Oryzias latipes: one gene and its partners. The main gene of each other region encodes a partner of the protein of the gene in region 2 in a complex. Links are inferred from orthologs where the notes say so. Each region holds a gene or a part of one and is shown on either strand. Other genes may lie near its edges. The genes, in order: timm9, timm10 and timm29.

Evidence for each region.
Region 1: the proteins of timm10 (region 2) and timm9 are in contact, whole or in part, in a crystal structure (PDB 2BSK), measured with the Homo sapiens proteins. The link is inferred for Oryzias latipes from reciprocal best matches to the Homo sapiens genes TIMM10 and TIMM9. Residues at the interface, in NP_036588.1 of Homo sapiens: Glu16, Met17, Asp20, Met21, Arg24, Ala28, Cys29, Lys32, Cys50, Arg53, Cys54, Ser56, Lys57, Tyr58, Asp60, Ile61, His62, Arg64, Met65, Gly66, Lys68, Leu69, Leu72; in NP_001291414.1 of Homo sapiens: Lys15, Leu18, Gly19, Tyr21, Asn22, Lys23, Thr25, Glu26, Cys28, Phe29, Leu30, Val33, Asp35, Phe36, Thr37, Thr38, Arg39, Glu40, Val41, Glu45, Thr46, Glu50, Leu53, Leu57.
Region 3: the proteins of timm10 (region 2) and timm29 are in contact, whole or in part, in a cryo-EM structure (PDB 7CGP), measured with the Homo sapiens proteins. The link is inferred for Oryzias latipes from reciprocal best matches to the Homo sapiens genes TIMM10 and TIMM29. Residues at the interface, in NP_036588.1 of Homo sapiens: His30, Arg31, Lys32, Cys33, Pro35, Pro36, Leu43, Ser44, Lys45, Gly46, Glu47, Ser48, Val49, Arg53; in NP_612367.1 of Homo sapiens: Asp181, Asp183, Ile184, Asp186, Phe189, Leu192, Leu196, Arg197, Val199, Gln203, Leu204, Ser206, Asn209, Glu210, Leu212, Phe213, Asp214.

Annotation. Positions count from the first base shown.
Region 1 is NC_019880.2:2,465,245-2,467,818, forward strand, and holds part of timm9 (mitochondrial import inner membrane translocase subunit Tim9), read left to right. Parts: intron 1-468; coding exon 469-517; intron 518-1,423; coding exon 1,424-1,519; intron 1,520-2,574. UniProt on the Homo sapiens protein: Mitochondrial intermembrane chaperone that participates in the import and insertion of multi-pass transmembrane proteins into the mitochondrial inner membrane.
Region 2 is NC_019859.2:27,362,338-27,366,094, forward strand, and holds the start of timm10 (mitochondrial import inner membrane translocase subunit Tim10), read right to left. Parts: upstream 2,609-3,757; 5' UTR 2,491-2,608; coding exon 2,420-2,490; intron 1-2,419.
Region 3 is NC_019866.2:25,850,371-25,854,127, reverse strand, and holds the start of timm29 (mitochondrial import inner membrane translocase subunit Tim29), read right to left. Parts: upstream 2,629-3,757; 5' UTR 2,544-2,628; intron 1-2,543. Other genes in the region: protein YIPF1, read left to right, coding at 2,767-2,797, 3,053-3,198, 3,264-3,344, 3,416-3,503. UniProt on the Homo sapiens protein: Component of the TIM22 complex, a complex that mediates the import and insertion of multi-pass transmembrane proteins into the mitochondrial inner membrane.

The DNA of each region.
Region 1 (2,574 bases), on a different chromosome or scaffold from region 2:
TTACAAGTGGTGTGATTTCGATAACATAAACAGGCTTTTACAACAAAATCAGACAGAAAAGAAGAAGATCTTCTGACTTTAGAACAACTGTACATGTTTAAAGTTGTTTGTTTTCTACAGTTACTATTATCATAAAAATGCTGGACGAAGGTGAAAGTTTCCACACATTTAGAAGAAGAGAAAACCAACAACAACCTCCACTTCAAGCTCGATTACAGACTCGGTTACTCGGTTACACGTCAGTGATGTAAACGTCTCTCATGACTTGGTTCGTGAACGTCTGATGATTCTCCAGAAAAGCTCTGGACTGTGAAGCAGTTTTTCTTCTTCTTCCACGCCTTCTTAGCGTTTAAGGTGGTATTTTTTTCCCTGTTGACCCCCATTTCTGCTCTGTGTCCCACCTTTTCACTGCCTCTCTGCATCTGGAGAGTTTGTTGATTCTGTTTGTTTGTGTGTCTCCCTTTGCAGAGCGGCGACCATGGCGATGCAGGTGTCTGAGTCCGATCAGATCAAGCAGGTGGGCCTTTTATTTCAAAACCTCAAGAGTGCAGAGATGAGAAAGTTCCTGCAGCTTTCCCGGCATCCCGCTTAAAGCGAAGTCGGTCACGCTTCAGCGTTCATTTCCGCCAGGATGTGGTCACTGAGGCGGAGAGGAGTAACGACCTGTTCTCCGCTGAAGGTTAAGGACGTGTAAATAAAGCAGATAATAGAGAAAGTGGGACTGCAGCTAAAGGTGAAGGCTGGAGCGTCATGTGACGCACGTTCAAGAACGCGTCAACCTTTGTGCATTTAGCCCACGGTGTTCACACTGGACAAGCAGGGAGGGGCTACTTGTTTTTCCACAGTTTACTGTCCACCCCCCATGTTTACTAGCGGCATGGCGTGAAATGTCAAAGCGGTGTAAATCCCGTGAATCTCGCTCCACGTTTTTTTCTTTCACAACATTCCGATATTTTAAAGACTTGGCGTTGTAGAATTCCAGCTGGGATCAAACCGCAATTATTCATTTCTCTCTCATGATCAACGTTCAAACGGTTTGTACTTCTATGAGCTAAAAAGGGCTCCATCCAAGCGTCGATACCAAATCCCTGATTGGTCAAAGTAGGACCTGGTTTAACTGGCAACGTGTCTTCTAGGGCCGCGCGTTTAGTACGTACGCAGGTTGCCGAGCGCGTCGAGCCTCAGACGTTTTTCCTGCAACAAAGCCACGTCGCCCACGATGCCTTTAAGTCTAGAATACTTGTTTATACCTCTCCCAGATCTCAGTCAGCTGTTATGGTGCTTTTATTTTCTAAAACCATACATTAGATCCATAACTTCTTCTAAAAACGCAGCCTCCACAGAGGAGCTGTGGCCAAAGAGAAGCGGGGGGTCTCTTGTCTCCCCATTTGTTGTTTCTGACTTGTCTGGTTTTGTCTTTCAGTTCAAGGAGTTTCTGGGAACCTACAACAAGGTGACGGAGAACTGCTTCATGGACTGCGTCAAAGATTTCACCACCAGAGACGTCAAACCAGAGGAGGTGAAGTCCCCGCTTCTGTCTGCCTTTTCCTAATGAAACCACACACGCCTGTCGTTGATACAAGCCGCCCCGACTTCAGAATCGCCTCGCGTTTGATATATCAGAGAAAAAAAATGCAGGGCTTCGTTTGTTTGTAGAGAAACGTGAGTTTATACTCTCATGAAAGGCAACAATGAGTCCATTTGAATCGGCAATATAGCTGAAACTCTTTACTGACGGATTAAACTAACTGCCCTTTGTAGTTCAGTACGGAGCCTTAAAGGGACATTGAAGGACAAAAAACAACTGATTTAAAAAACATAAACTAACTGTTAATTTCTTCTTCTTCAATGTCCCTTTAGGGGCTCCGTAGTCCAGGGGATCTTTTACTTTTTTACAATAAGCTCTTATAATTGATCTTTACGGCAGCTTTTTGCAGCAATGCTTGTTATTCCTTTTTAGCACAACCCCAGACTCTTATTTTATATATATATATATATATATATACATTTTTTAACAGATATTTTTTCATTATTTTTTACAATGAACCTGAAAATATACCCCCAAAAAAACACAATTCAGAGCCGTAAATGTGGTCATTTTTTACGGCAAAAAGGCCGTCTTGGGTTTCTTAAGCTGCACTTTGCTGTCCGTTCTCTCTTCACTACAGGAGATCTTAATGTAATAATTTATTCTTAACTCTACTTTATCCTTTACAGAAACAACTGAATGTCTACATGAGGTTTAGTGTAAAAACAACACTCATGCTATACGTGTAGAAAATAAGGATTTTCAACTCACAGACACACCTGCTCCACTTTGAAATAATTAACTCCAAGTTACTGTGGTGTAAATACAGCCACAAACCAAATTGAAACAATTTATTTTTTTTACTGTATAAAAGTTAGTAGAGTCATATTTCTACACTACCTGTAATGATCTTAAATGAGGCTGGAGGCTCCGCCTCTGTCATCTCATCAGGTGTGTCCTCTTCAACCCGATTAGAGGGATCATCCATTTCAAGATCCACATTAAACTATTTTTCTAAATCATCTAATTCGTCCAAATCCCTCCGT
Region 2 (3,757 bases):
TTTCAAAAGCATCTGGACTTTATCTAAACCTAAAGAAATGTGAGTTATTTCCTCTCAATGTGCTCTAACATCCATAAATAGTATAGTAGTCAAAGAAAATGTCACATATTTGGGATTGCAGATAACTAAAGATCAAAAACAAAGAGAACTGAATAACTATATTCTATGATTGCAAAAGCACAAAATCAGTTTAACTGCTGGCTACAAAGAGATCTTTCACCAAAAGGTTGTGCTCTCTTAGCAAAAGCAGAAGGGATTTCCAGACTAGTTTACATTGCTTCCTCACCATCTCTGGACAGTAAAAATGCAAAAAGGATTGATCAGATACTTTTTAATTGTCTTTGGAGAAACAGAATCCACTATGTTCGAAAGTCAGTAGTAATTAATTCATCAAAAGACGGAGAACTTGAATTTCTTGACTTTTCCACTCTAAATAATGTCCTCAAAATTAAATAGTTAAAAAACTTCATTTTGGAATTTCATACCGAAATATATATTTGATAAGTTTGGAGGTCTGTCATTTCTTCTATTATGTTATTTCAAAATAGGGAAAATTCCTTTGAAGCTGTCTAATTTTCATAAGCAGGTTTTATTGGCATGGACTTTGATCTACAAACATAATGTTTCTCCTCATCGCTACTATATTTGGAATAATGCAGATATTCTATACAAAAACAAGAGGATTTTTCTTGAAAATTGGTTTGAAAAGAACATTTTTCTTGTAAATCCACCATGTAACCTGATGTCATCTGTTGAGTTTCTGTCCACCTATAGTCTGCATGTCTCCCCTGCAGAGCTTGCATTGGTTACTGGAGCCATCCCAGGTGCTGTTAGACTTCTGTGGAGCAGTTCTCCTTCAAATACTCCATGTTCTCCTCCCAAATGAACAGAATTGTGGTGTGGAAAGATTTGTTTTTCAGCTGGCAGGAATAATCAAAGTATCCGTTCTCTGTTTCAAAATGAGATTACAACAAAACCGTATGTTATCTCACACTGGAATAGGTTTGGCTGTAGAATTCAGGGGGAAAAGGTTTGGTCCCTGCCCCAAAAGTATGTCATCACCAAGAAAATCAGAGAAAATCAGAGAAATATCTTTCGAAATTCTTCATAAATCTTATCCAGTGAAACACTTCATTACCAAGTTTAAAAAAAAGAAATCTGAAAATAAATTGTTCATTTTGTCATTCCTCACCAGAAACTGTGTCTCATCTTTTTTGGGTTTGCTCCTTCACTCAAGTATTTTGGAAAGATTTGATAGATTTTAAAATCTATGTGAAGATTATAGATTATTTTATGATACCATATTATTTTTGGACATTTTACACATAGGGAAACTTGATGCAGAGAAAATATATGTAGTTAATTTACTTATAATTATGGCTAAATACTTTATACACAAGTGTAAATATGACAACAAAAAAAAACGGTATTTTATGTTTTCCAGAAAGAAATGGCACTGTGTGTAAACAGTATAACAAAAAAGCTGTCATTACAGTTGAAACATGGTCTCTTCTGAAAAAAACAGATTCCTTTGCCTTTATTATTTTTGCTTAACCTGTTTTACATCATCATTATTATCGTTTTTCAATTTTTTTGTTCATTTTCCTGGTGAATGTGAAAATGGTATTTTGCACACTGTGTGGTGGAGTTTTGTGTTTGGTATTTTGTATGTGCATTATTAGTTAATAAAGTTAAAATATAAATAAGTGGGTTAAAGAAAGTGAAATGCATCTGCTGGGAATGAATGAGGAGCCTCCTCTGCTCCCAGGAGGTCCAGCTGCAAACATCAGTAGACACAGAACAACAGCGCTGCCTTTGCTTTGGTCAGCACTAAATTACCGGCATGTTTTCAGGTCAGAGGAAGTCACGCAGGTCCCTTAGGGTGACATTAATGGAAAAAAGCAGCCATTAGAAGCCCTGGGCATGACATAAACAAGAAATACATTTATAAATCTGTATAGATTCGATTGTGGCCAACATTTTAGTAGCATTTTGTGTGCAAAAACAAATATTATGTGCACACTGCTTTTTTGTGTTGTGTGCACAGCTTATATAATAAAAACTTTAATTCCTATAATGTGAGGCTACAACATGTCAATATGTATGCACAAAATGCGAATGTGAGAATACAGAATACTAACTCCTGGCCACAGACGATCAGAATGAGGTGACTTAAAAAAAGATATTCAGGGTTCCGTATGGCTGTAGATTATGGCGAAGCTGTGCTGAAAAAATCCCATTCATTGTTGTGTCCGTCTCATGATGTCAAGCAAAGGCCTAAATGGATCAGGCTGTTTGTCTCTGGCGCTGAAGACCCTCTTTAACACGGCCATGGATGGTGGTCGGGAATGGATGATGGTGCTGCAGAGTGTGTGTCCGCATGCATGTCATATGACGGTACACAGAGATGAAGACCTACCGGTTGTACATGTCCGCCATCATCTCCACCTCCAGCTCCGCCGCCAGCTGCTGCGCTTTCACAGGATCCATTCTCGCCCTCCGTGTCGTTTCACAACCGAGCCCAGCGCCGGTGACCCTCTCCAGCTGGATAACAGCAAGCCGCGATGCTACTGTCACCTTCAAATCCTAACACACGTGTGATGTCGCGTCTGACTTCCGGTATAAATAAAGTTTACTTTAAAAAGGTCGAGTCTAAATCAGCGCGCCCCCCTGTGGATCATATCTGTACTACAGAGCTTTGACCGGACATGAGAACTGGACTTAGGAGCAAAGTCAACTTTTAGGATTCAAATTAATTCCCTTTTCATTTTTACATGGACAACATCCTGTTTAGTTTTGCTGATTATGAAAATAAGCTAAATTCCAAATTCTACTTGATACATTTCCTGATGCTATTAGCAAATGTTCAAACAAAAGTACAGGTGGAGAGGATGTCATTTTTTCAAGCCCCTGAACCGTGTGCATGGGGCCTGCTAGTGCTGTTCAGGTGATAAATGTGCTCCAGGCATGAAGCCTGTTAGAAATGAGGAAATGATACAGCTTAGTTTGTGTTGACGTCCTACGAAGAACTGATGCTTTTCGTACATCTCCCGTGTGTGCAGCACTTCTGTGCAGTCAGTAAGGAGCCGGTGCGTGCACCTCAGACTAGAGAGCGACATTAAGGCACAGCATGAGACCATAACTGCACTTTACTTGCATTATTCTTACAAATAACTTACCATTTCCCCACACACAACAATGGTACCTTCCATTTTCATAATCATAACATCCCTTTAGGTGCCTGTAGGAGCCTCAAGTGAATTGCAAGACAAACCTGAGCTCCCTGTAAGATGTGGCTGCTCCTCTCTCTGCCCCCCCATGGGCACCGACAACCCTAACACTTGCAGCACCCCATCGGGTGAGCCCCCGCACGGGTGCATGTGACTGCAGCATTAACAAAGGGCAAAGGCAGGGAACACCCGGGACAGCACACCAGTCCACTGAAGAACACAACCACACAGACAAACATACACTCGCACTCAAAGGACAATCCAAGAAAGCAATCCTGAAGCTTTTGGACTGTGAGAGGAAGTCAGAGAAGACCAGAGAAGACCCACGCATGAACCAAGAGGACACACAATCTCCACTCAGAAAGAAACCAGCCAGAATTCAAACCAGGACCAACCTCCACAACTTCTGTGCTAGAAAAAAAAGCACAACCATGAAAACTGACTTTTTCTTTTTTTAATAAACTGTACATAAAATATGCCATGTTTTTTTTAAATTCAGCATCAAAACAAAGAGCGGACTCCACAAT
Region 3 (3,757 bases), on a different chromosome or scaffold from region 2:
TAAGCTGGTATCCATCCTGAGCATCCTCTCCATCCTGTTCTTGACGGTCAGTGGAGAACCTTCTCCAACAGGCTAAGGCAGCTTCACTGTCACACCAACCGCTACAGGAGATCTTTCCTACCTCACTCCATTGGACTCTAGAACTCGTCATCCATGTGCAATACATAAAGTCATTTATGGTCTGTCTTTCTCTCCTGATGTGGCACACAATACAACTGTTCTTTTTCACTGATGTTTCTTTCTGATTGATTGTTCTGGTTCTCTGTCGTCTATTGTGTGTTTGTTTGTATCTTGAGCCTAAAGCCGACGCTGCAACAACTGAATTTCCCAAGCTGGGATCAATAAAGTATCTTTATCTTATCTTATCTTATGTTAATAATATTACAAAATTTATCACCAAATCCTAAAAATGTCAGGGCTTTAATTAAAAAGGAATGCTCCAATGTGTCAAATGCTTTATAGAAATCTAGAAATAATATCAAACTATCTGGGTCAACAAAGTCACAATAATCCAACAAATCTACCACCAACCTGATGTGATTATGAATATTTCTTCCTTTAATAAATGCTGACTGACACTCATCCACTACATCCTTCAGTCCTCGTTTAGACGCTCTGCAAAAACATGAGCTAAAATTTTATAGTCATTGCATAACAAAGTCATTGGTCTCCAATTATCCAAATATAATGTGTTTTTATTAGGTTTGGGGATTAAAGTGATGAACCCGTCTCATTGTGTTAGTAATGAACACTTACGATAAGGGTGGTCTTAACTTTTCTAGACTTTTGTACATTAAATAATACCTTTAAAATAAATTGGCTAAGACATTTTATTTAGAATCCAACTTCAATCTGGAATTTCATACCAAATTACATTTTCTCCAAATTAGGAGGCATAAACTTTCTTTTATTCTGTAACTATAATGTACCAAAGATCCCACTTAAGCTTTCTTGCTTCCATAAACAAATGTTACTTTCCTGGTCCCTCATCTACAAACACAATTTCTCTCCTCACAGATACTACATATGGAACAATAAAGACATTACTTATAGACATAAATCTTTATTTTATCCATCATGGTTTAATCCAAACATCCTTTTGGTTCATCAGCTGTTTAATTCAAACGGAGCTTTAATGTCACATGAAGAATTCTGCTTCAAATATTCCATCAAAATACCAAAATCTGAATTTAACTTTGTTTTGAAAGCAATTCCTAAATGTATTATTACATTATTCCAAAGCTCATCATTGCAAAGTCCAACTTTATTACCAATTGATCCGACTAAAATAGAAATAGGACGAATTTGTTTTTCTTCTTCACGTACCACAAATCGCCGTAAACGCTCACTCTCCCAGAAGGATGTTGTCTCCACGTAGTTTCTTTTTGGAATAATTTAGTTTATCATTTAGAATGGAAAAAGATTTGGAATTTACCAGCAAAATACTTTTTAACCAATAAAGTGAAAGAAATCTCATTTAAACTAATTCATAAATTCTATCCAACCAAACTATATCTGCAAAGGTTCAAGGAAGATATTGATGTTTGCTGCTCTTTTTGCCAAGAACAGCCTGAAGATGCTGTACATTTATTTTGGTCATGTCCCTTTTCCACCACTCTCTGGTCTAAAGTTTGTCATTTCATTTCCGCCCACATTGACTCTGACTTTCGCCTGTACTTAAAACATGTTATGTTTGGCATCACCCACTGTCCATCTCATAAAAAAGAACAGTTGTTCTTCATTAACCTTTTGTTGTTTTATGGAAATGGCACATTCATAAATCAAAAGTTACGAATCATACTCCTCATTTCTCAATCTTTATCAAGGAGTTCAAACAATACATTAAGACAATAAGAGACTCTGATAATAAGAAAGCCATCAAAACATCCGATCTGTTATATTGACATTATGGAAGTCTGACACTGTGCCTCTATTTAAGATGTGGCTTTCTGAACTCACCAGTGTTCTGCACATGGAAAGGATTCGAACTGTTCTGGAAAATAAGCTAAATGTATTTTTTGATGTGTGGCAGCCTTTTTTGGATCATTTAACCAAGTATAAAAAAGATACAACCCGCCCACAACAGAGTTAATTGTGCCACTTTTTATTTTTTTATTTTTCTTTATTACTTGGAAAGGATTTTTTCAAATTGCAGTGTAATGTTAAGTTTCCTTTATAGACTCTCATTTCTAGCCCTGGTTTCTGTGTGTCTGTTTTTTTTTTTTGTTTTGTTTTGTTTTTTTCTTCTTTTTTGATTGTTTTCTTCCTGTTTGTTTTTTCATCTCAGTGGTTGTTCAAATGTATGTTGTTTTATGCCAAAATCTTTAATAAACATATGTTTAAAAAAAAACATTCGATCTGTGTGTCAGTTTCAATATATCTGCGTAAAATGTATTAACCCCCTGGCTTGTTCCTTCGTTGTTGTTGTTCACTGTTTAACATTGTTTTGTATTGACTTTTTACATTCAATAAAGTTTGAATTTAAAAAAAACTGGGCAAATTCCTGGACTGCAGTGCGCATGCTCCTGAAACAGGACGCTCACCGGACGCGGATGTGAGCACGTGACTCGTTGTTGACGCGATGACGTGTACGCATGCGCATCCGGCCCATTCTTGCTGCATATTCTGAGCTGATCTATTATAAAAACTGCCCTCACGTGCGCCTGTCGTCACTGATCAAACGGGGCCTCGCGGCTGCTCCTCTTCTCGAACGGCGCGCGGCGGAGCTGGGACTGATTTACGGCGTTTCCCGGTGGATCCGGAACCATGACGAGTCCGAACGACCTGAAATTCGAGGGTATGGCTTGCTTCTGCTGTTACCTAGGCAACTGGGTTATTAGGGGCTCCCGCTGCGCGTGCGCATGTCACCTCAAAAGTTTTGAACTGTACGGTAGAAACATCAAAGCTTCTGAATTGTTGTAAAGAATTGAGTGAAGGTTCTGCTAAGCCTGAGGACCCCAGAAGACCCCATCATCTGCAGCCCCACCTGCCCCTCCCACCTCACCTGTCCCCCCCGCCCCCCCCCCCCCCCAACCTGCTGGTTTGTCTGCAGAACTGGAGGAGGCGGCGCAGCTGCTGTCAGCCGACCCAACTGCCTCCACCCTCAGCATGTCCGTGCCCCCCACCACCCCTGCTGGGGGGGGGGACGTGAAGCTGGATCTGTCGGAGGATGAGCAGGCTCAGGAGGAGAGCGCGGAGGTGAGCTTCCTGTGCAGGAGGAGGAGCTTGGGGAGGCGGCGGCTGACTTACCTGTGTTCTGTCAGCTCCTAGGAGGGCAGAAGCAGGGCGGGGGCTTCTGGACCTTCGAGTACTATCAGTCCTTCTTCAACGTGGACACCATGCAGGTAAGAGGCGGAGTCTGCACACCTGTAGAGTGTGGGCGTGTGCCAGGAGGTCACCCGGTGCTGTGATGTAGGTTCTAGAGCGGGTGAGGGGCGCCGTTATGCCCGTACCTGGAAGAAGTTTCCTCAAACACCACGTCAGGACCGGCCCGGACCTGTACGGTGAGTTACCTGCTCCACAGGTGAATGGGACGTTCCAGCTCCGCTTCTGTCAGTCTGGGTCAGCCCAAGGGATCAGGGGGGCAGAGGGGGAGCAGGTGTGTTGATGTGTCCTTGAGCAAAGCAGCAGAACCCCACACTGGTGCTGGTCTGCTTCCACTGATGACCCAGTATGGGTGAATGGGGTGTGTGTGGGTGTGTGTGTGTGTGTGTGTGGGGGGGGGTGTTCTATCTACTCATTGCTTTTTTTCGTTTTT